Linked DNA regions of Danio rerio. The protein of the gene in region 1 binds, or shares a complex with, the protein of each later gene. Links are inferred from orthologs where the notes say so. Each region holds a gene or a part of one and is shown in the gene's direction. Other genes may lie near its edges. The genes, in order: eif3ja, eif3ba and eif3f.

Region 1 (6,736 bases):
ACAACATTACATTTTTAAAGCAGTTAGAGGAGACAAAAAGAGACACACCACTCACACCAGAAGATGAACTGGCAGAGAAACTCAGAGTGAAACAACTACAGGAGGATTCAGACTTAGAACTAGCAAAAGAGGCATTTGGTGAGTGCTTTCTGTATATAACATGCATCTACATTTGTTTTTAAAACGGATAAAAGATTCAATTCTGAACTTTTATTCTCTCTTTTTAGGTGTAGTTTCAAATAATGTTACCGGAATCGATGCAATAAGTCCCTCTTCGAAAGACGACTTCACAGAGTTCGAGAGGTTGCTAAAAGAAAAAATATCTCCCTATGAGAAGTCTATACACTATTCCGGCTTTTTAGAAACACTGTTTAGGGATCTGTGTCTTTCATGTGAGTATGCTTCATTTCAGCTGACTGTTCCGTCATTCTCATTGTAAATCATGTATTTTGCTGACATTTTGAATTGGTTTTGCAGTGGAAGTTGAAGACTTGAAGAAAATTAACACCTCACTAACAGTGTTACTAAGTGAAAAACAGAGGCAAGAAAAGGTATGAAAACCATTTAATGCAACAATTACCAGATTTCCTAAATAATCAGGCATGATATTCACAAATTACATCTTGCTATTTTCTTTTAAGTGTTATTAAACGTTACTTAGCTGAGTTTGTGTGCTGACACCTTGGATGCTTTAGGCCTGGTGTAGATAAATAATCACACCATTTAAAACCACCAACTAGTGCTGCCAAGTTCGTGTTTTAGTTAGCGATTAATTGAATTTCTCTTTCAAAATGGCAAACAAAGCAATTCACCCTTCGCTATGTCTGACAAGCTTTCGGTATCGGCCATAGCACTTCCCTATCAATTTTGTACTCTCCAGGGAAATAGTGAATGATTTCTGGGAAAATTACATGATGAATTCAGGCAGACGTAGACAGTAAAGTCTGCAATTTGCATACAAGGGACATATGTGAGAGTAACTTGAAAAGAAACCATGGCTGCGTCCGAAACCGCCTACTACTCAGTAGGTACTGCATTTGAATTTAAACGTGCTACTCGGCCGTTAGAAAAGTACGTTCTATACAGTATGAACGTGAAAAGTATGAATGGAATTCGGACAGACTACATCCGCCATTTTGTCATGGTCACGTGACCTACCTGCGTCAGTTGCGTCGCTTTACTCCCATTCATGAATTCGCTCGCGGGGCATCATTGGATAGCGCAGCATGCATGGGATGCGCACTCTAGAATCTCGCCGGAAGTAGTAAGTCATCCGGGTACTTCTCGCATACTGATTTTCGAATTCTATGAATTCGGACATACTACTCGGTTTGCATACTGATTTTAGCGTACTATATAGTTTGGAAGTATGCGGTTTCAGACGCAGCACATCTAAAGATTGAATCAAGTCTAGTGATGGGAATTTTGGGTAATTTTAAAATCTAGTTTAAAAGGGTAAATGTAGACCATTTCAATATGGTCATATCAGTCGCCCATAAACATTTCCTGCTGGTTATCAAAGTATTTCATAACTATAGGCAATTCAATCATAAGTTCATGTTAAAACGGCTGTCATAACATCATCTATCAACATGTGGCTCTTTTTGGATTGTCGAAAGCTAAATGTAAAACAGGAAATACGTTGGGAAAATGGTTTTTGTTTACATTTGTCAAAATGGTCTATAGAAGCTCTAATGTCGTGTTCACACTAAATGCAAAGAGAGCATTCAATTCATTCGCTCTAAATTACTTGTGCGATAGTCTTCATTCATTCGCACAAATGTTTTTATCATCACAAATGATGTGAAGAACATCCTGTGAGTATAGACATGGATATAAACACATTCTCTAAAATGCTGTTGTGTTTGGGTTTATGTCACCACAAAGAGGCGCACAAACCTTAATGAATTTCACCATCTTCTAGAAGAAGTAGGGTCTGTGTGTGGACTGCAAGACCGGGGCGTAACTTGTGGTAGAGGCATAACTTGAAGTTATGAAGACCCACATGTCAAAATGTACCAATCAGTTATTAATGTCTACTCCACACCTAAACCCAGCCATCACAGTTAATAACGTCTATACCCACCTAAACCCAATCATCATCATTATTAACGTTTACACCTTCCCTAAACCCAACCATCAGTTATTAACGTACAGCTGCGAGTTGCGGAGACTGTCATATTTGATGTGCTCGCCATTGTACTGTTTTTGCAACCACAGAAGGCGATGCCGAGTACTGTCATGACAAAACGGATGAAGTCGGCGAGTAAGTTGCATGGTGGAGTTGCTAAATGAATGTAATAATATATCAAATGAATAGGTTGTGGATCAATTCGGAGAAAGCTCATGAAAATGCTCTCTGTTAAGTATTTTTGTCATCTTGTTACATCTCGCAATGGGATCTCGATGACTGTAAGTTACACCTCTCTAACTTACTACAAGTTACGCCCCTCCATGTTACACCTTGTCTTGCAGACAGATACACTTGTCTAGAACTGCATCTGAGGTGTCCAGTTTCATGACTTGCTAATACTGGCATCTGCTTGCGACTTATATTAGAAACATTCCCCCAACCGGCAATATCATAGCCAGAGGCCCATGCAGCAGTGCATGTTCAGCTCCTCTGCTTGTATCCCCAGCATCACGGACAGGCAAATTCTTTACTTGTGTTGAGTTTTTTGTATACATTGCGCATGTTCGATGCAAAGCATCAGTCCCAAGTTCATCCGTTTTGCTGTTTATCGGTAGCCGCATTTCGAGCCACCTGTTCAACAAGTGACGGAACCGTGGATGCAAAGGCCATCCACACAAACAAATCCGTTCGATTCAATTCCACGAAATCGATTTTGTGAAAGGGTTTACTTACTGTCTGTGCTGCAAGTCCCATTCAATCATTTTCCTTCGGCTTTGTCCCTTATTCCATTTGATTTATGTAGCGGATGCCCTTCCAGCTGCAACCCATCACTGGGAAACACCAAGTCACACATGCACACACATACACTGATTTTGGCCAATTTAATCTAATCAATTCACCTATAGCGTGTATCTTTGGACTGTGGGGGAAACCCACGCCAACAAGGGGAGAACATGCAAACTCCACACAGATTACTGTGTACCTTAATATAAAATGTGTTCGTAATTGTTTTTTCCTCCTATTCTATAGGCAAACAAAGGTAAAAAGAAAAAGAAGGGAGTTTTACCAGGGGGAGGTTTAAAAGCCAAGATGAAAGACGATCTGGCAGATTACGGCGGGTTTGAAGGCGGTTATGCACAAGACTATGAGGACTTCATGTGACCAAGGCTTAACCCAACTCTAACTTTTTTTGCTGATTGCTGAACCACACACACCTTAACAGCATGACCTTCTCCCACTGTCAGGCCCACAACCAGAACATGCTAAATAACTCTGAACGTCATCCACGCAATGCACACTTTCCCATCAGAGAGTACCAATAAACTGCGCTCTTTTCCCTCTGGCCTGTCGTGACTTTAGGTTGGAATAATAAACCCGATAAAACAAATGTGAACCTGCAGTATCAGTTAATCCCCACAGCCCTGGCTTAAACAAACAAACAAACAAACAAACAGTGTTATTGTTCGGTATTTCTAGGAAATAAATGACGCTATGCAAAATTCAGTCCGGATTGATCTCAATGTCATTACGCGACATTAACCCTTTATTTGTCTACGGGATGTTCCTTTTTGCAAACCAGGGCGATTAACTCAACCCGAAATGTTGATATCGAAGTCACGTGGTTTCTAAATCATGTGTACAATCACGTTTATTTTGATCGTAGGCTATAGTGAGCTCATTTAGATAAGTCAATCTAGAGTGTAGCGTAATTAACGTGAGCATAACGCATTGACAATAACGCCTTTACGTTTGTAGCTCGTAATGCATTCCATGTGTCTCAGACCAAAAGCATTACTCTGATTTGTTTTCGTCGCAGCGGTATTTGGATTACCTCAATTTTTGCAGAGTGAATTACGCAAATATTTACAGATATAACATTATGCCGTGGTTCATTTGAGCTCAGCCATGCTAGCGTGATTTCACACACACGCTATGCTGATGTATAAGGGACTGAACGTCGATGTAGGGTCTTTTCAGCCGGCGTTTGGCTTTCCATTTTATTGACAATTCGCAGCGTGGTAGAGATGCTTCATAGAGGCTTACGATCAGCAAAGCCGATGATAGGACTCTGCACTGTTTTATAAAGATCTAATTTAATAAAAGTTGCTTAAAATCCAGCAGTGGTTGTGTGTTCTTTGCTTTTTTTGGTAGTGTATTTTTAGAGCTTGTAGATTCTTTCTGAGGGCTAGAGACAGGGTTTATACGGTCATGGAAAACCTGGAAAAGTCATGGAGCTTTGACATGGCAATTTCCAGGCCTGGAGAAGTTTTGGAAAAGTCATGGAAATTAGTTGAACAAATATCTGTAAACTTGAATTAGGGCTACGCGATATTGGAAAAATCTGACATTACGGTATTTTGAATTTCTGTGATTTATATATTATGATGTGAATACAATTTCATCAGATGATTTAAAAGGAATCTCGAATAATATATAACAAATAAATTACAAACATAGATCAATAACGTATAGTAGAGATAAAAGTGAATGATAGTTTTCAGGTATTAAATAATCAACTATGCATAGTCTTTATTGTATATTAGTTAATCTTTATTAAAGTTACAAAACATTTCGGTAACACTTTATAATAACTACGCACTATAAATCATTTATTAAGCATCAGCAAATAGTGAATTCATTATCTGTTAAGCATTAATAAACGTTAGTAAGCAGTTTATAACTGCAGCTACAAATGCTCTATTCTTGACTTATAACCACATTTAAAATGTGCTTAATAATTGTACTTTTGTACTTAGTAAATGATTTAGCCTCCTCTTTAGAGCATTCCACTCTCATGCAGGAATTGCTGGTTCGATCCCTGCTTGGAACTGGACCAGTGGGTATATGATGAATGTAAATACCTTGGATTTTACTACAGTCATCGGTGGTTGTAATGTAGCTTACCTTAAGTGTAAAAACAGCAGTAAATGAGTAATTTGTTTATATTACTGTTGTTGTATTACTACATGAATGAGTTGGGGTCCGTTCTTCTTACCTCGCTTAAATGATCTAAGATGATTTGGCAGATCCTGGATCTTTTCATCTCGATAACTGACCTCTGGCTAATTTGGTTCTTCAAACTCGCGAATCAGATTAGAATGTCTGGATGAACTGATCTGAGATCACTGGATGTGTTGTGAAGGAAAGAACTATCGATCATCGAAATCATGATCAGCAATGCAGCGATTGGCTGACGGCAGCGTGATGACATCAACTGATTAATGTTCAATTATCCATGTGAGCAAAATTACATCAAATTAGAGGTAAAACGTTTGTTAACTATGACACGCAATAACCTTCCACATTTGTTGTGAGCTGCAGGCTTTACATTTTCATGTGTCAAGGGTATTCATCATGTATTTCAATGTATTTAGTTCTACATTTAGAAAAGATTTTCTTTATTATAGTCGCCGTTTTTTAATCGGTGTAAATAATAACTTGATGTTTACAAAAGCATTTTGATATTGGTAAAGGCGTCTGCAACTTTCGTGAAGCATCAAATCACCGGCATATTAACTATCAAAACATGTTTATGACTGCATAAATGTATTATTGCGTTTAAAAAAAGTCACATATTATGCATTTCTATTATACACAATTTGTTCTAAAGCGATCTAGAAAGTTCATACCAGTAAGTTTTCTCTTTGCACCACCAGGTGGCAGACTTTGTACTTTCATTTCGAGGGTGAAGATTGCATAAGTTTTATTAATATGTATAACTTAATATGTAATTAATATGTACTAATATACTTAATATGTATTCATATGTATTTATTTTGTTAATAACTATAACTTTATAGTTAAAAATAGTTACTATTTTTCACGTGTATATAACTACTACTGTAAGAAAATATCAGCATTCGGTACATACTTTCAGTATTTTCTTTGCATGCACTGAGCCGATCTAATCCTGTTTATATGAATTGAACCTGCTGCCGAGCAGGTCTGATCTACCAGAACTGTTGCTATGACAACAACTCTCGGATCAGCCTTGAAGAACGAAACGATCCTGGATCGTGTCAAATCGTCAATATCCAAATCCAGCTAACTGAGTAAACCCTTGGTCAGTAGTGAACATTTGAAATTATTGCAACACAATGCTTTCCCACACTTTAACCAGAAGAGGTCCTCATCGAGCTCTGATTTAGAAAGCTTCAAGTAACGAATATTTTTCCGATACAATTGAGTCGAGCGCTTTAATGGTTCAGAAAGCTTCATGTCACCATCACTACCTTACCGTCCTAATTAAATCATTAAAAATCAAGGCATGATCTTATTTTATTTTGGTCAAATAAGCTAAATATAGAGGCATTTGCCTTTTAAGCTACGTCTGATACCAAATGAGCAACTAGAAGTCAAGTGATTATGTGTTGCTCCTAAAACTTGGATAGGCGACAAGACTTTTGTCAGGTAGTGTACTTTTTAACTAGTTTCATCATCTAATATTTTACAATCTGAAGTAGACGTTCATTAAGGATAAAGCGGTCAGGGGCGTGACCTTTGAGACTGTTTGAAGAACCGTTCAACAGAAAACCGAATGCCAGACGGAAACTGGTGTTTTATGGCGCAGCAGCTTATGAAAACACGCGCACACAGGTCTTC
Region 2 (8,164 bases), on another chromosome or scaffold:
AAAAAAAAACCCCTCCACATCAAAAGCTACTAGTCAGCCCACGATTCAGCAAATATTTGAGAAACAAATTGCTTATAAACCAACATCCAATGCTGCTATGTGCATTCTATGTGCTATATGCACCTGAACAGTGGAGTGGCTTACTTACTTTAAATCCAAAGAAAGATATCTAAGGATGCCTTTTCAAGTTCTTTTCAAGAAATCTGTATTTTGTAAACTTACAAAGATATCAGACGTCAATGATGTATTTAAATATTGAGCCTGACCTGTTTAATGCTCCAATTTTTTATGTTTCTTAAAATAAAAGAAATATTCTGTTCAATAGGAAAAAACATTTTTTTTTAACCCAGATATTTATTAAGAATATTTTATTGCAGTGATCACAATACTGTGAAACTGTGACATTTTTAATCAAGATTTTCATACCATCAGAATCTTATATCGACCTATTCCTATTCCTAAATTTGCATATAGTAGCTAGAAGGTTCAGTTTTTGAGAGTTAAAATATTTTATTAAATAATTCAAATATTTTGATTATCAAATATTTAAGTCTAAACAACATATATTTTTGAATTTTTGCATATTTTTGGTACATTTTGAGTGCAACTGATGAGCTGCAAATGTATTTATTATATAAATTAATCAGTCACAGAGTCTTAGAGGTCATCTGATTTCTGAAATGAAAACTCGGCACATTTTGAGCACAAATTATCGAATGGTTTCATAGGATTATGACAATTAGAAAATAAGGGCATGTATTTTTTTATTTATTTTTTTATTTACAATAGGATGTATGCACAGCCACACAGCAAGAAGGTTGCTGGTTCAAGCCTTGGCTGGGTCAGTTGGCGTTTCTGTGTGGAATTTGCATATTCTGTCTGCGTTCGTGTGGGTTTTCTCCTGGTGCTCCGGTTTCCCCCACAGTCCAAAGACAAGTGGCACAAGTGAAATTGGGTAGGCTAAATTGTCCGTAGTGTATGACTGTGAATGAGTGTGTATGGATGTTTCCCAGAGATGGGTTGCGGCTGGAAGGGCATCCGCTGTGTACAAACATGCTGGATATGTTGGTGGTTCGTTTAATAAAGGGACTTAGCTGAAAAGAAAAAGAATGAATGAATGAATGAATGAATGAATGAATGAATGAATGAATGAATGAATGAATGAATGAATGAATGCATGCACAGCCAGTGCTGGTGAGCTGTCTTTTCATTACAAAAACCAATTTTAAGATCTGATTTCTTTAAAAATCAGTGACCTTCTCTGCCTGATAGATTTTAAATAAAGTGGGTATCAGACCTGACAATAAGAAGCATTAAATTCCACTTTCTCCACTTTATCTTTAAAATATGAAAATGTTCATCTACCCCTGTATTCTGTATTCAACTAAATAAATACCTACTGGTTATACATTACAACATCGATGCTGTAAAGGAACCTTATGAAATTGAAAAGTCACATAAACCTTTCACTGGAAGTTTATCGTTGGCTGGAAACACTAGCTGTGCACAGAGCCCATTATCGGGGGTTCCATATGCTAATGTTATAATTAGTTTAATGATGTTTGAGGGACCTAAGAGAAGATTTAAACAATGGTTTCTATATACAGTACTAGGAAAGATTAGAAACAGTAAACGATAAAATGAGTTTTAATAATTTTTTAGGTAATTATGATTTTACTCATTACAAAAATAAAGTGAACCTATAATGGACAAAAATCTGACACTGAGAAAAACATCGCAAAATAGACGGTTTTTGAAATGAGATGGATCCTGAAAATTTGATCATAAAAACAGAACAAATGAAAGAATCCAAAACAAATCTGAGACGAGGAAAGACTATTTGCGATGTTATTGAGGATTGTAAATTGGGTCTGTCCGGGTTTATGCAGCATTGGAGAAAAAAAAAAAGATTAATCAGAGTAAAAGGATTGAAAAAAGCAGAAATTGGAAACAGCGAGTAGGAAGACCAACAAGAAGATGGAATAATAATATCAAAGAATGGCTAGGAGGAAACGAAACGTTTTCTAAATGATAGTATCAAAAAAATCCCCACTGCCCTCTCCTGCAGAGGCTGGTTGTATTCTCTGTGTTGTAGACCTACACAGACCTGCTTCTGCAGCTGATAATTGCTGCAATGACAGAGAACACACTTTTTTCTTGATCATCTTTGTAATTAAGCATTTTATGTACTGATTCCATTTATATTTAGTGTTACCTAAAAAGTTACCTAAGCAACCTCAAAGTGGGAACACACTAGCATCTCAATTGTCACCCAGAGCAGAGCGATGGGCAGCTACAAAGCCGATGCTAGTGTGAATGAGGCATAAAACTGAAAGCTGTAGTAATGAAATAAGAGCTGAAGCAATTGTTGATGAGAGATGAGCGATGCGCAGCACACAAACAGCATGGGAAGTAGTAGTGGTTTTATCAAATTATGTACATTTAGGGTTCTGTTTTAAATAGGTTCTGTTTGGTCCTATGAAACACTATTTAAACACTATTGAAGGTGTATGATGGTGATTCATGTCATAAGCATGGCAGGTCCATGAGAGTAAAATTGTGGATTTCTCTGGGTTTGAACATTCTTCAAAACATTTGGTATACTGCAAGTACAAAAGTCAAAAAGGTGGTACTGGACATTTCATTTATAGCACATTATTTTCTTCATTCTCTGTTTTCACCTGGGGATTCTTATCCCGAGGCGCCTAGATATTTTGCAGCACCATTAATGCGATCCTAGAAATGATGCCAAGGTCTTTATAATCCTGGACCAGGCCGAATCCTGAGCTGACGCTGCGGCAGTCATAGAGAGCAAAAGACTGATTCCTGAAAGACCCCAGTGACAGAAGAGCCTTCACATTGGTCCTGTGGGTTAGCCTAAGCACCCGCCGGTGACCTACTCACACCTGCAGTTCTACATAATGGACGTTCAGCATTCTCCAGCATCTGGCGCCTAGACTGCAGCTCTGCACAGGAAGTTTGGCCATGGTCATGCCCAATTGAGCCTAGTTTCTTTCAAGGTTTTTTTTTCTTCACTTTCATCAATTGGTAAAGTTTTTTTTCTTGCCACTGGCTTGCTTGGCTTGGGACATTTGCTCTTCAGTGTTTGGACTTTCAACAGTGAAATTTAAACCACACTGAACTGAAATAAATTGAACCTCAACTCTGAAAACTGGATTTAGAGTTTCAATCTACTAAAACTTCTATCTAGGTAAAGCTGCTTTGACACTGTCTACGTTGTAAAAGAGCTAAAGAAAAAGACATGAATTTAATTTTAATAGAAAAATTGTACATATTGTGCCTTTAAGTTTGCATATTTTATAATAGTATAGAAATGTTTTGATTGTTATTAACTTAGTGTTATTGTCTATCTATCTATCTATCTATCTGTCTGTCTGTCTGTCTGTCTGTCTGTCTGTCTGTCTGTCTGTCGCCAGAGATGGACAATAGAACTGATGGTAACATTGCGCGCTCTTGTACGGGAGGTTCTTGTCACATGAACAGGAAGTTCAGAGAGCGATAAGCAGAAGACGAGACCAAGTTCACTTAAAAGGGGTCTGCCATGTCATATTCCACAACAAAACTACACATTGTATACAATTTAACCAAATATCATAAAAGTGTTAAGCTCACATAATCTGCCAATGAAGCAAATTTTTATCCTTTTCCTTCAATTATGCTGTACATGAATCCTAACGCTCCAACAGAGCCCTGAGGTGCTCTCCGCGCACATGGTACGGTCCTTCTCTCGCTCGCAGTGGTTGGCGCCGGCTGCTTTGCACATGGCCGAGTGAGTAAAATATCTGGATTACTGCTGTGAAATTCACCACCACCTTCTAACCAGCACAGACCCACAGCAACCGATCTCTAAATGCGAGATACGGAGAACATGGAGGCCGAAATGGAGTATGACGATGAAGAAGAGCCTTCGTTCAGTGATCCGGAGGACTTCGACGATGACATCAGTGATCAGGGTGAGAGAGAGGCCTGCTTTAGCGCGCCTGCCGATCCCAGTCTCACACTAAACCCCATAGCTCAGCATGTCAGCCACGAGCTAACACAAAAATCCTTTGGTTTATTTGTGTGTCAATCTTTCAAGCTGATAAACTACGCTGTTTCACAGTTAATGCCGTTTTATGTTAGTCAAAGCTTCTCTTTAAGTCCAGCATGTGCGCGAACTAGACAAAAGCATCTTAGCAGTAGCTTTAGGGAAATAGACTAACGTTAGTGTCGTAACAGCATAGAGTCAGCAGCTGTTATGCTTTTGGCTTCAGAAACGTCATTGTACTGCCGTTTTGCTTTAACAAATGCTGTTGTGCTAACTGTACTAACTCTATCTGTGTGTTTTCTGGTCATTCAGAGCTGCTGGGGGATGTTCTCAGGGACAAACCGCAGGAGGCTGACGGCATCGACTCAGTCATCGTGGTTGATAATGTGCCTCAGGTCGGACCTGATCGCCTGGAAAAGCTCAAGAACGTCATTCACAAGATCTTCTCAAAGTTTGGCAAAATCACCAATGAGTTCTACCCTGACGCAGATGGAAAGACCAAGGGGTATGTTTGGGTCTGCTTGGTGCGTTTTGGGATGTAGGGATGCACCATTGGTGACATTTAATCAATAATTGATGCAATACGTAAGGGTAGTTCACCCAAGCATCAACATTTAGTCACTGTGAAGTTGGTTCTAAATGCTTGTTTTTATTTTTTCTAAAATTGTTTGGACGAATGTTGGAAACTAACCAATGATATCCGTAGTATGAACGTTTTTATGGGATTCTATGGCTTGCTGGTTCCAACATTCCTCAAGACATTTTCTTCTCTGGTGCTCGAGTAAATTACAGCATTTTCATATTGCTTGAACTATCTCTTAAATTCATTAGACACTTTATTATAAAAGAAAACAAATATTTAAGTAATCTGTCAAATGCCATTAAAACTAACTAAAAACCAATAATGTTTATTAGCAAAACACAAACTGCATTTGCAGAAAACTGTAACATTGCACAAATATAACTTATCTTTCTTCATATCTTATTATCTTCATATTGAAATCTGCAAGTAATTAACTGCTATTGGGCATCTCGATAAATGGTCTTAATGTGCTTCTTTTTTTTTTTTTAAACATATGCTTTCAAGTCTTTCTTGTAAATTTGGAAGTTCTCAGATAACAATTATTTTAATTTGACGTTACAAGTACTACTGTGTGTGACTAAAAGGCTTAAATGTATTGGTGGTTTAACCATTACAGAAAAAAAGAGGGCAGCTGTGGCACAAACCTTACATTTTTTTTATGGTCTAATAAAATGAGTTGAGCACAAACTATCTGTATTAGTTTTTAGGTTTCTGTTAAGGTTTTAAAGTGTATATGTGTACTAGTTATTAATGGCATGTTTGCAATGTTGTATATATTTTCTATGGATTATAGGACGTATTGACAGATCGCACTATTATGTCTTCTTTTTCATTCTTTTAAAACCTATTTATTCTTTGTTGATTTTATTTTCTTATACTTTTATTCCTGTTTATGTAAAACACTTTGAATAACCACTGAGTATAAAATGTGCTATAGATATAAACTTGTCTATAATAATTTTCCATGCTTTATCATTACAGGTACATTTTCCTAGAGTATTCTGCACCAAGTCACGCTCATGAAGCGGTAAAAAACGCTGATGGCTACAAGCTGGACAAGCAGCACACCTTCCGTGTCAATCTGTTCACTGACTTTGACAAGTAAGTTATCTTTTAGGGTCTGCAGTAGTGTACTGCAATAGGTTGCTTTAATGAAAGAACCTTTACAGTGTTGTATAATTTATACTCAGTATTGTCTATCATTTCCAGAATGCATTTTGGCAAGCTGTTTCTAATGCCTCAAACTTCATTTAGGGCAGATCAGTTCGTCTCTCAATTTAGCTTGAAATATATCAGGGCTGTGCAGATGCTGATATCAGTATTAAAAAAATCTATTAATATTTAATAGATTAATATTAAAATGTAATTTTTTGATACCTTTTGGGATATTTCACCCCAATTGTCGCCTTTCTTTTGCTTTAAGCAAATATTTCAGCTTCTTTCTTCTGATGAACAAAAATGAAGATATATTGCAAAAAGCTGAAAACTGGTAGTCATTGACTTGTATTTTTGTTTCACTATGGAAGGCATTGGCTACCATTATCCAACATTTTTAAAATATATTTTATGTTCGAAAAATAAACTCCTGTAGAGTTGGAACCACATGAGGGAGAGTAAATGGTGAGAATTTATGTTATTTTTGGGTGAACTTTCCTTTTAAATAAAGCATACTACTTGGACTGCATGATGTTGGAAATAACTGACGCTACAATGTTAGATTCTATGTTTATTGCAATATGAAAACAATTTGACAGGATATCTTTATTTAGAAAAGAATGTTTTATTTTTGAATGACTGGGGTGATTTTGCAGAGGAGTAACTCTGCATATAAATAATATCAAATTACAAATCATAAATTAATGGAATAAAACAAAGACCGAAGTAAAAGAAACATTGCTTGTTTTCTGGGCAGTCTTGACAGTATTCAGGGACAGAGCATAATCCAATTTAAAATATGTTACATATTCTATAATCTGTAAACAAAATGCATTTAATCTGTTAGAATGTTTGCACAGCAACAGGCATTAACAAAATGTACAAATGAAAAGTCTCACTGTCTGGAGCTGTAGTTAGAAACATAGTTCCTGGCTGTGTTCTATTCCCACTTATCCCCCTATGCGCTATTCATTTAGAACATTCTAATATTAAAAGTTGGTATTGTTAAAAATAAAAAAAAACATTAAGGTCATCTCTCTTAGGTGTAATTTGCTTTCTAACTATTTTTACGGTTCAGTTTTAGCGATCTTCATGTTTACAAATGTGCTACCTTCGCAGTGCATTTTGAAAATATTGATATAATTTTGAACACAGCCTCATGACGAAAGCTGTGGGAGACCTATTATTTAAAAGCAGAATTTATGCATTTAATACATGAATTTTAATGTATATTACATATACATTTATGTAGATTTCAGTAAAAATGAAAAACAAGTGCATGTTTTTTCCAACTCTAATATTGGATTTTATTTTAAATGCATGTGTGTATAAAACAATATAATTGGCACAAAGAATTTGAGTTTTTCTCTAAAGATGTAGTTACTCCACCCTGTTTAGAGCATCATTATGGGCGTTTTATGTTAAAACTAACGTGGTTCAAGCGATGGATCTGCGACAGAGAAACCACGAGTTTTGGGAAATATTTGTCACGACATCGTTCTTTTCCCAAACGATGCAACGTACTATGATAGTTCAGCTGCGAGTTACGTCGTTGTTTGGGAAACGCACCCCTGACCGATGGTGCATTGTCATTTGGGATTCCTGCCTGATACCTTGTGATGTGACTTGCAGATGCATACATTGTGATGCTGCAGCCCTACATACTTTGCTATACATGCAAAAATGTGGCACATACAATAACATGGAAGAGAAAATCAGGTGATGCATTAATAATCAACTGATCACTAATCTAAAGTCTTTTATCCACATAGGTACATGTCAATCTGTGATGAGTGGGAAGCTCCTGAAAAGCAGCCATTTAAAGATTTTGTGAGTTTAATAATATTTTTGATTGTCATTGTCGTCATAACCTACTGAAAATCTTTTATTACAAAAATTAATGAATGTTAATATTTGGTGTTTCTTTTACAGGGTAATCTGCGCCACTGGATGGAGGATCCTGACTGTCGTGATCAGTACAGCGTTATCTATGACTCTGGTGAAAGAACGGGCATATTCGCCAATGATGTCAAGGAGCCTATTGAAGTGGAGGAGAGAGCGGTGAGTTAAGTGTAATGTTATAGAAGACTATCATTCATCTGTAAGAATATATAGATATTGTGGACGTGCATGCTCTGACAATCAGTATTTTTCTTTGTATCTTACTTGTAGCGCTGGACTGAGACATACGTGCGCTGGTCTCCGAAAGGCACGTATCTGGCTACATTCCATCAGAGAGGCATCGCTCTGTGGGGTGGGGAGAAGTTCAAGCAGATCCAGAGGTTCAGTCATCAGGGGGTTCAGCTCATTGACTTCTCTCCCTGTGAGAGGTATGTCATGTTCTCCTGTTTAGAAATGGCCTCATGTTTGTATTTTAA
Region 3 (8,164 bases), on another chromosome or scaffold:
TATATATATATATATATATATATATATATATATATATATATATATATATATATATATATAATTTTTTTTTTCAAGCAAAATTGTGATTAACCAATGACTAAAAATTCACCTAATGCAAAAATGTGAATCTACTCATAATTATTTTTAATAAAAGCTAGAAATTAAATCAAACTAGAATAAATCAGGTCTATGCTCTTTCTTGAACTTCTCATATACTGCTTAATGCTTTCATGTGGTTCATGCCAGTTCTTTTGACACTACCATTTGAAAGTCAAAGCAGAATTCGAATCTCGTCAAGCCAGATAAACACTTTTCCAGTCGTCTACTGTCTAATTTAGTGTATCTTGGTGAATTGTAGCCTCGGTTTCTTTTGTTATCTGACAGGAGTGTCTCCTGTGTAGTTTTCAGCTTCAAGGTTTGACATGTTGTGTTCAGAGATGCTCTCCTGCAGAACTCAATTGTAACAAGTGCTTATTTTCATTCGCCTCTTCCCTCTGGCATCAACAATGCATTTTCACCCATGAGAAATGTCACTCCCTTGGTATTTTGTGAGTGAAAAAAAATCCCTGAAACTTTGCAGTTTCTGAAATATGCTCAGGCAATCCACACAAAGCCAGGGTTGCATTGTGAAGCAAGTCTTTAAAGAACAAAAAGAAAGGCAATATCTCAAATGTGTTAAATAAGGTGCTTTTTATTAGAGTGGCTGATTATAACATACAGTAAACAAGGTTAGCATAATGGAGACAGCTGATTGGTTATATTGTAATATTCGCTATATCTGAGATTATTTAGCAAATGTTACAACTGTAAAACCTTTTTTTTGTTAACCTACTTTTATTTAATATTAGCTTTTCCATTACTTGTTTCTCATGTGATACTTCAAAATGTGCATTAAAAATGGTAATGGAAACCCAAAGGAATTTAAAAGAAACCCTGGGTAGTTGGCCTAATATAATGTAAATGGTGTTTATCATTTAAAAACACACTTATCTTGGACTTACTGTGTGGGGGTCGGGCGACATGTTGGCTCAGTGGTTAGCACTGTCGCCTCACAGCAAGAAGTTCACTGGTGTGTGTGTGTGTGTGTGTGTGTGTGTGTGTGTGTGTGTGTGTGTGTGTGTGTGTGTGTGTGTGTGTGTGTGTGTGTGTGTGTGTGTGTGTGTGTGTGCATGCGTGTGTGTGCGTGTGTGAGTGAATGAGTGTGTATGGATGTTTCCCAGTACTAGGTTGAAGCTGAAAGGGCATCCGTTGCATAAAACATGTGCCGGAATAGTTGGTGGTTCATTCCGCTGTGGCAACCCCTGATAAATGAATGGACTAAGCCACTCATTATTTTATGTGCAAGACAGCAGTCGCTAGTCAGAAACCACATGTCTGAAAGTTGCAACCAAAAAACACACAATGTGGCAGATACTAATATTTGAATTGTTCTTATGTTTGTAATATTGAGTTATTTTGATGTAAAAATATCAACAGGCAGTGTCAATATAACTCAGCGTTTCCATCTGAAACTTAAAATTAAGGCACCACCAGTAGTCCAAAATGCATGTTGTTTTTTTAAATAACAAAGATTTTTCAAATGTTTCCAAAGACATAATGTAAATAATGTCTCTCACTGAAATTACATTAAGTGCCCACACTTTTTCCTATGAAGGGCTTGATTGAGGGTGGTGGGCCGAATGTAAACATACCAAACTCTATTTCATTAAAGTTGCATTGGTGGTTTCCTAATTTAATATTTAAAAATAACTTTAACATTGCTTCATATTATCTTATGCAGATTTTATTATATAATGAACTTCATTCATTAATTCATTTTCTTGTCGGCTTAGTCCCTTTATTATTCCAGGGTCGCCACAGCGGAATGAACCGCCAACTTATCCAGCAAGTTTTTTATGCCAGCCGCAACCCATCTCTGGGAAACATCCACACACACACATTCACACACGCACTCATACACTACGGACAATTTAGCCTACCCATTTTACTGCATGTCTTTGAACTGTGGGGGAAACCCACACAAAGGCAGGGAAAACATGCAAACTCCACACAGGAACGCCAACTGAGCCGAGGTTCGAACCAGCGACCTTCTTGCTGTGAGGCGACAGCACTACCTACTGCGCCACTGCCTCACCTGTATAATGAACTTTTTATAGTAAAACAAAATTCATTTAAAACAGAATGGAGTTACACTAGTAAAGCTGCACCCTCTGCCTTGACTTGTTTATTTTCATTTACCTTTTTTTTGTAGATCAGCAATAAAATAATCAAACAAACCAAGGTTGCGTTAAATTAGAAATTAAGATCTCTGTTAAAGGCAATTGTCCCAACCCTCCCTATCAGTCTCTCTTCTCAGATGGGATGGTGGGCCAAATCAAAGATTATCAAGGGCCAAGTTTGGCCCACATGCCCTAGATTGGATACCTCTGGCCTAAATGATATGTTATTACAACAACTAGGCCTATAGCAAAACAAGTTGCCCAATAGCCTGTGGTTAGTTATATATTAGGCTACATGATAATACATCACAATTTACTGTTGTAAAACTAAAATATACTACAGTTGCCTACACAGTTTATTATAGATAATGCAGTAGCATTTATTAGCATGTGTTGTTAACTTAATACTTTATAGTATAGGCCTACAGTATAATAAACTTTACTATCATTTGTTTCAAAAACACTATCGTAGCCAATTTACTATGAATTACTCCATTATCTTTTCATGTGCGTTGTCTTGGCCATGTTTTCATCATGTCTAAATGTTTTGGATTGCTGCCATGTGGTTAGCTGATCCGATTTTTGGCATTAACATGCAGTTGTGTTGCTATTAAATTGTCCATTGAAAAAATGGATATGTACCAAGCAAACCTCGAAGAACTTTAACCTGACCCACCCACTAAAACTTTACATGCTGTGTTTAATTATTTATTTGATTATAATTTTTTACACATTATTTTGTCAGCCACCTACATCCGCTAGGGGGCGGCAGCGCGAATCCCACTGACGCGCTCTTCTTCTCTGTTTATCATCATCTTTTACTTCCTCTTCGAAATCATGGCGGTGCACGGCCCGGTCGTGAAAATCCACCCGGTGGTTTTGGCTTCGATTGTGGACTCATACGAGCGCAGGAATGAAGGAGCGAGTCGCGTGATCGGGACATTATTAGGTGGGTCATTGAATTCTTGTGTGAGATTTATGAGACAGTTGCGATTATTACAAACAACATGAGCGTCGCTTGGTCTTGTGGAGCATGTGTTGTAGTCGAGCTGAATGGCTGGGGTGGATGAGAAACTGTACAGATCAGCAGCATCACTTACCTGGTGGTTGTGTTTGTGTGTCAAACAGGAACAGCAGATAAACATTCAGTCGATGTCACCAACTGCTTCTCTGTTCCTCACAACGAGTCTGAAGATGAGGTGAGAAAAAAAGCATCATCTAATACATCCTTTACATTAGTGTGTGCCAGACATTTATGTAGCTTTTTAGGCATAACGAAAAACAAAACAATTTCACATCACAGGTATCTCACTGTAACTTTGTAATGGTCTAAAGGGTTCGAGTGAGACATCTGTGGTATTTCATGTTCTGTTGTTATGCATCTTTAGCTAATTGATTGGTTGAAATACACTTACAAACCATCAGCCAAAATTGAAGTGAGGTAAAGTTGATTTTATATTTGCACATTCAGACTTTCACCTTCTTAATGTAATTTCAGAAAGGTATTCTTTGTCAAATCCTAAACGGTCAACTCAAATTAACAGCCAGTGACTATTAAAGTACAACATTGTTTACAGTCAGTTAAATGGTGCTAATGTGGATTTAAAGTAGGCATGGGCCGGTATACAATTCTGACGTTAATATTCTTTAATATAAATATCACATTTTCACAGTATTACATAGTGATTACGGCTCTGCTAAATGGTAGCGCTCCAGTTTTTTTTTTTTTTTTTACTGTTTACAAACTGGTAATTCATCTATAGCAGATAATTTTGGCGGTTTTAAAACATCAGTTTTTTTTTTAAATCACTGTGTACCTTGAAAACGGTTATCGTCCCATGCCTATTTTGAAGTCATGCATTTCAGACCGATTATTCAATGTAGCCTGGTAAACAATGTAGGGACCTTTCATAGAGTTCATAAGCTTTTTTTTTTTTTTTTTAACTATAACAATTTGCTAATTTATCTGTATTAGCCTTTTCCCAGAGATGGGTTGCGGCTTGAAGGGCATCCTCTGCTTAAAAACTTGATGGATAAGTTGGCGGTTCATTCTGCTGTGGCGACCCCGGATTTATAAAGGGACTAAGCCGACAAGAAAATGAATGAATCTGTATTAGCCTCTTTAAAATTTGCTTTACTATTTTATTGAACACGAGTGTCTGAATGTTCAAATATAAAACCAACTTAATTCAAAAGTGTCATGTTACATGCTACTGTATTTTTGGACATGTACCATATGTTATTTATGCTTTACTAAGGAGCACCAGCATTTAATCATCATCATTGTGCAATTTATTTACCTTTTAAAATTATTTTTATTTTATTTTTTTTAAATAGGTGGCTGTTGACATGGAGTTCGCCAAGAACATGTATGAGCTTCATAAGAAGGTTTCGCCGAGTGAAGTCATTGTTGGATGGTATGTGGCCGCATTTCCAAATTAATATAATTCTTTTCTTTGCTAAAGTTTTGTTAAGTTATTGTTGTAAGCACATTTTTTGTTATATTTTTAGAAGGTTTAGAAACTTTTGTGAACATTTGTTATTTTTCATTTAATGCATTTTGCTTTGCGCTATGGTAAAATAACTAAAATAAGAAAATTAAATAAAATGATATTTTTTTCTCCTACAGTCCCATGATTTATTTTTGCAGCCATTTTAAATGTATATCTCATGTTTACAAGTTTATATTTCACAATTCAGATATTCATTTCATTTTCATTTGTTGTTCTTACAGTTCAGTTTATATTGCTACTCTTTTTTTTAAGTATATTTGCCTTTTATTCCATTGTAAAAGCAAGCTTCCATTAGGCCTGTCACGATATATCTAGTTTTTGTTGTACGGTATATTGCACCAAAATACATTGCGATAAATGATTTTATTGTGATTTTAATACCATTCTATGCCACTCATTATATAATACCAGAATGACAATATAATATCACCACAATGCAAGTACACTCATACAAAGAACACATAATATTTTATTGTTAAGACTATTTAATTTAGTTATCCTATGGCTTTGGAATGAGATTGTAAAAACGCATATCATAAATAATAATAAATGTTAACAAAAAGGTGCAAGGCAAAAAGTAACAGAAGCTGTGATATCTGCTAGCAGATCTATTTTTAGTTGTCAGACACCCACATGAAAATCTTCTATAGCAATTTATAGTAAAACCTGTAGAGCTTTTTAAACCATACTGACACCTCAATAGAGATCGAGATGTTGCAAAACCAGCTGAAATGTTGCTAGAATTCATTTTTATGTATGGGCGATATATATTGCATCACTAAAAATGTCTGAGGTCATGTCAATATAATATGACACGGCTTATCAATGCGATAAGTTCATATATTGATTACTGTGACAGGGTAGCTTCCATAATGTAGGTTATATCTATATATCAAAAAAGAATAATTATACAGGTAACAGAATTATTAGAACTTAAAATGGAAAATATTACAAAAATGACTATCTAAAATATTTCAAAATATAATAATAGAATCTGATTTCAGATAAACTTAAGGAATGTTGTTTCACTGAAGAAAGAGGCTGTGTTGTTTTTGCAGGTATGCCACAGGATTTGACATCACTGAGCACTCGGTTCTGATCCATGAGTATTACAGCAGAGAGGCTCCAAACCCTATTCACCTCACTGTGGACACGGCACTGCAGAGCAACAAAATGAACATCCGGGCCTACGTCAGGTAACACAACCACAACAAACAAATGCTGACTAGTGTACAATAATCGCTTATGAATTAAAATTTTATGTTTACATAATAATGTTGTGTACTATCTGTGCATATTTGTTATGGGTATAAATAAATGCATGTATCCACGTATATGCATATATAGAAAATGCTTGTTTATATTTATATTATCAAAGATTTTTTTATAGCAAATGATATAATAATTTATACAGTTTAAGTCAGAAACTAGGGGTGTCAAAATTAATCGTTTCTTCGGTGCACCTCGATGCAGACATGGACAATTTGGTATCGGTTCAGTAATAATCATAACTGGTTAATACTGACGTCATTTACCTCATATGCGCTCTGTCATGAGGGAGGCGATAGTGAGTATTTACAACGCTCTAACTACTTAAAACTCATAAACTGTGCACGATTTCACTGTGTGTTTGCTGGATCAGTCTTTCACTGACATATACAACTATTTCACTGAGATCGAGAGAATGAAAGTACTCCATTTCTCTCTCTCTCTCTCTCTCTCTCTCTCTCTCTCACACACACACACACACACACAGTGGCTAAAGAACCGAGCGCGTGTCTTCAGAGTTTTCTCCACCATGTCTATCATACATCAGCTGTGAGATCGCCCCTGCCGCTTATCAGTGTCACTCATCTGTGAAGAGCGCAGCACTTACGTTTTTTATCGCAACCGTGTTTGTTGAGGGTGTGACCAATCAAAGAGGTGTGAGAGAACTAGACAAGGATCAGAAATTGAGCTTGATATTTATATTTGTTTATATTATTTGCTTAATGCTCGTTTTGTTTAAAGTTACAGTTTATATATCTGACTGTTTGCATTAAATGACAAAATTGTATTACAAATAATATGTAAATATAAATAACTTCATACATTTTAATACAAGAACTGCTGCTGTGAAGAAAATATAAAACTCTGTATGAAAAGCACCGTCAATGCACCGTGATGCACCGAAATATCGAATTCAACCGAATTGATGGCATGATAATCAGAACCGAACTGTGAGACTAGTGTAGGTTCACAGCTCTATTCGAAACTGTAGGTCTTTTTTATTTCTGTTTAACGGAGAGAAGATTGTTTATTACATTTCTTAATATAATAGATTTAATAACTCATCTCTAATAACTTATTTCATTTTTGCCATGATTACAGTACAAAATATTATACTTATTCATCCTTCTGCACGCTGTTTCTGTTGTTCTGCAATAACACTTCCCAAACGCAAGTTGGCAGTGAGGTGTTAATGTTCCTCTGTGTCGAGTTTCTTCGCCTGTGTTTTGTGTTTTCTGAACGCTTCCTTAATTTACAAGTGGTTCAAACTCGCTCATTTTGAGGCAGGAACCGGCGGACATGCAACAACTTTATCCGTAAGGTAAACACAAAACTTTCCATCCAGAGGTCCTTCACGGGACTCCACACTTGTAAACAATTGCTCTATTGGGCTCGCGCGGCTTTCGGTCCCGCCCACACTCGCGGTACCAAGCCGACCAATCACAGAGCTTAACGCTACACATCGTTGCAATGTGTAGTTACATTTTTGGAGAGGTGCACGTTAGCCAGGGCCAGGGCTACGCCTCCACGCATAGGCTGCACCATAGTATACACGTGAGCTTGACACAGAAGTAATAATCAGCCTTTAGGCTCCATTTAGTCTTAGTTTTAAAATGGCATTTTAGAACGGAAACGATCCACGTCCACACTGGCGTTGCACCTAGCCTTTCTGAACAGATCTCCGTCCACACTATACCGCTGAAAACGCACATCACGTGACTACATACACACACACAAGCAGTCCATGTCGGTCAGTTTGTCAAGGATGTACCGCTGCATTGTGTCTCACTATAGTTGTTAAACGTGATATTTAATTAATCTGGTCTCTATCTAACGACTCTTCTGTCTTTTCAATCTGTCAGAGAATGGGTCACAGCGTCAGTACACTGCTTCAATCTTTCACTTTCACGCTTGTACTTAGTAATTTTATCGAAAACCTCAGATCCTGTTGGTTGTGCATCTTTTTTTATCTATTCATGCCTGAGTCCCTTTGATTGACAGGTGGTAATTTGTGTGTAACTTATCTTTATTTATTTATAAATTGGTCATGGGTAAAACAAAGACGGGTCAGGTAGTTAAAACGGTAGGCTACAAATAATTTAATTTGTTAGGAATTAATGAATTTTTCATAAATAATTAATTTGACAACGATGTCATTGTCTA

Evidence for each region.
Region 2: the proteins of eif3ja (region 1) and eif3ba are in contact, whole or in part, in an NMR structure (PDB 2KRB), measured with the Homo sapiens proteins. The link is inferred for Danio rerio from reciprocal best matches to the Homo sapiens genes EIF3J and EIF3B. Residues at the interface, in NP_003749.2 of Homo sapiens: Asp45, Glu46, Asp50, Asn51, Trp52, Asp53, Asp54, Asp55; in NP_001032360.1 of Homo sapiens: Lys202, Asn205, Val206, Ile207, Lys209, Ile210, Lys213, Asn249, Ala250, Asp251, Gly252, Tyr253, Lys254, Leu255, Phe261.
Region 3: eif3ja (region 1) and eif3f share a complex: the UniProt entries of both Homo sapiens proteins name them as parts of the eukaryotic translation initiation factor 3 (eIF-3) complex. The link is inferred for Danio rerio from reciprocal best matches to the Homo sapiens genes EIF3J and EIF3F.

The regions. Positions count from the first base shown.
Region 1 is NC_133200.1:34,319,035-34,325,770, reverse strand, and holds the end of eif3ja (eukaryotic translation initiation factor 3 subunit J-A), read left to right. Parts: intron 1-20; coding exon 21-138; intron 139-227; coding exon 228-392; intron 393-477; coding exon 478-551; intron 552-3,163; coding exon 3,164-3,295; 3' UTR 3,296-4,251; downstream 4,252-6,736. UniProt on the Homo sapiens protein: Component of the eukaryotic translation initiation factor 3 (eIF-3) complex, which is required for several steps in the initiation of protein synthesis.
Region 2 is NC_133178.1:40,715,944-40,724,107, forward strand, and holds the start of eif3ba (eukaryotic translation initiation factor 3, subunit Ba), read left to right. Parts: upstream 1-3,741; 5' UTR 3,742-3,871; coding exon 3,872-3,974; intron 3,975-4,360; coding exon 4,361-4,553; intron 4,554-5,612; coding exon 5,613-5,732; intron 5,733-7,558; coding exon 7,559-7,616; intron 7,617-7,718; coding exon 7,719-7,847; intron 7,848-7,958; coding exon 7,959-8,116; intron 8,117-8,164.
Region 3 is NC_133176.1:11,700,148-11,708,311, forward strand, and holds the start of eif3f (eukaryotic translation initiation factor 3 subunit F), read left to right. Parts: upstream 1-3,029; 5' UTR 3,030-3,056; coding exon 3,057-3,168; intron 3,169-3,347; coding exon 3,348-3,418; intron 3,419-4,556; coding exon 4,557-4,636; intron 4,637-5,790; coding exon 5,791-5,928; intron 5,929-8,164. UniProt on the Homo sapiens protein: Component of the eukaryotic translation initiation factor 3 (eIF-3) complex, which is required for several steps in the initiation of protein synthesis.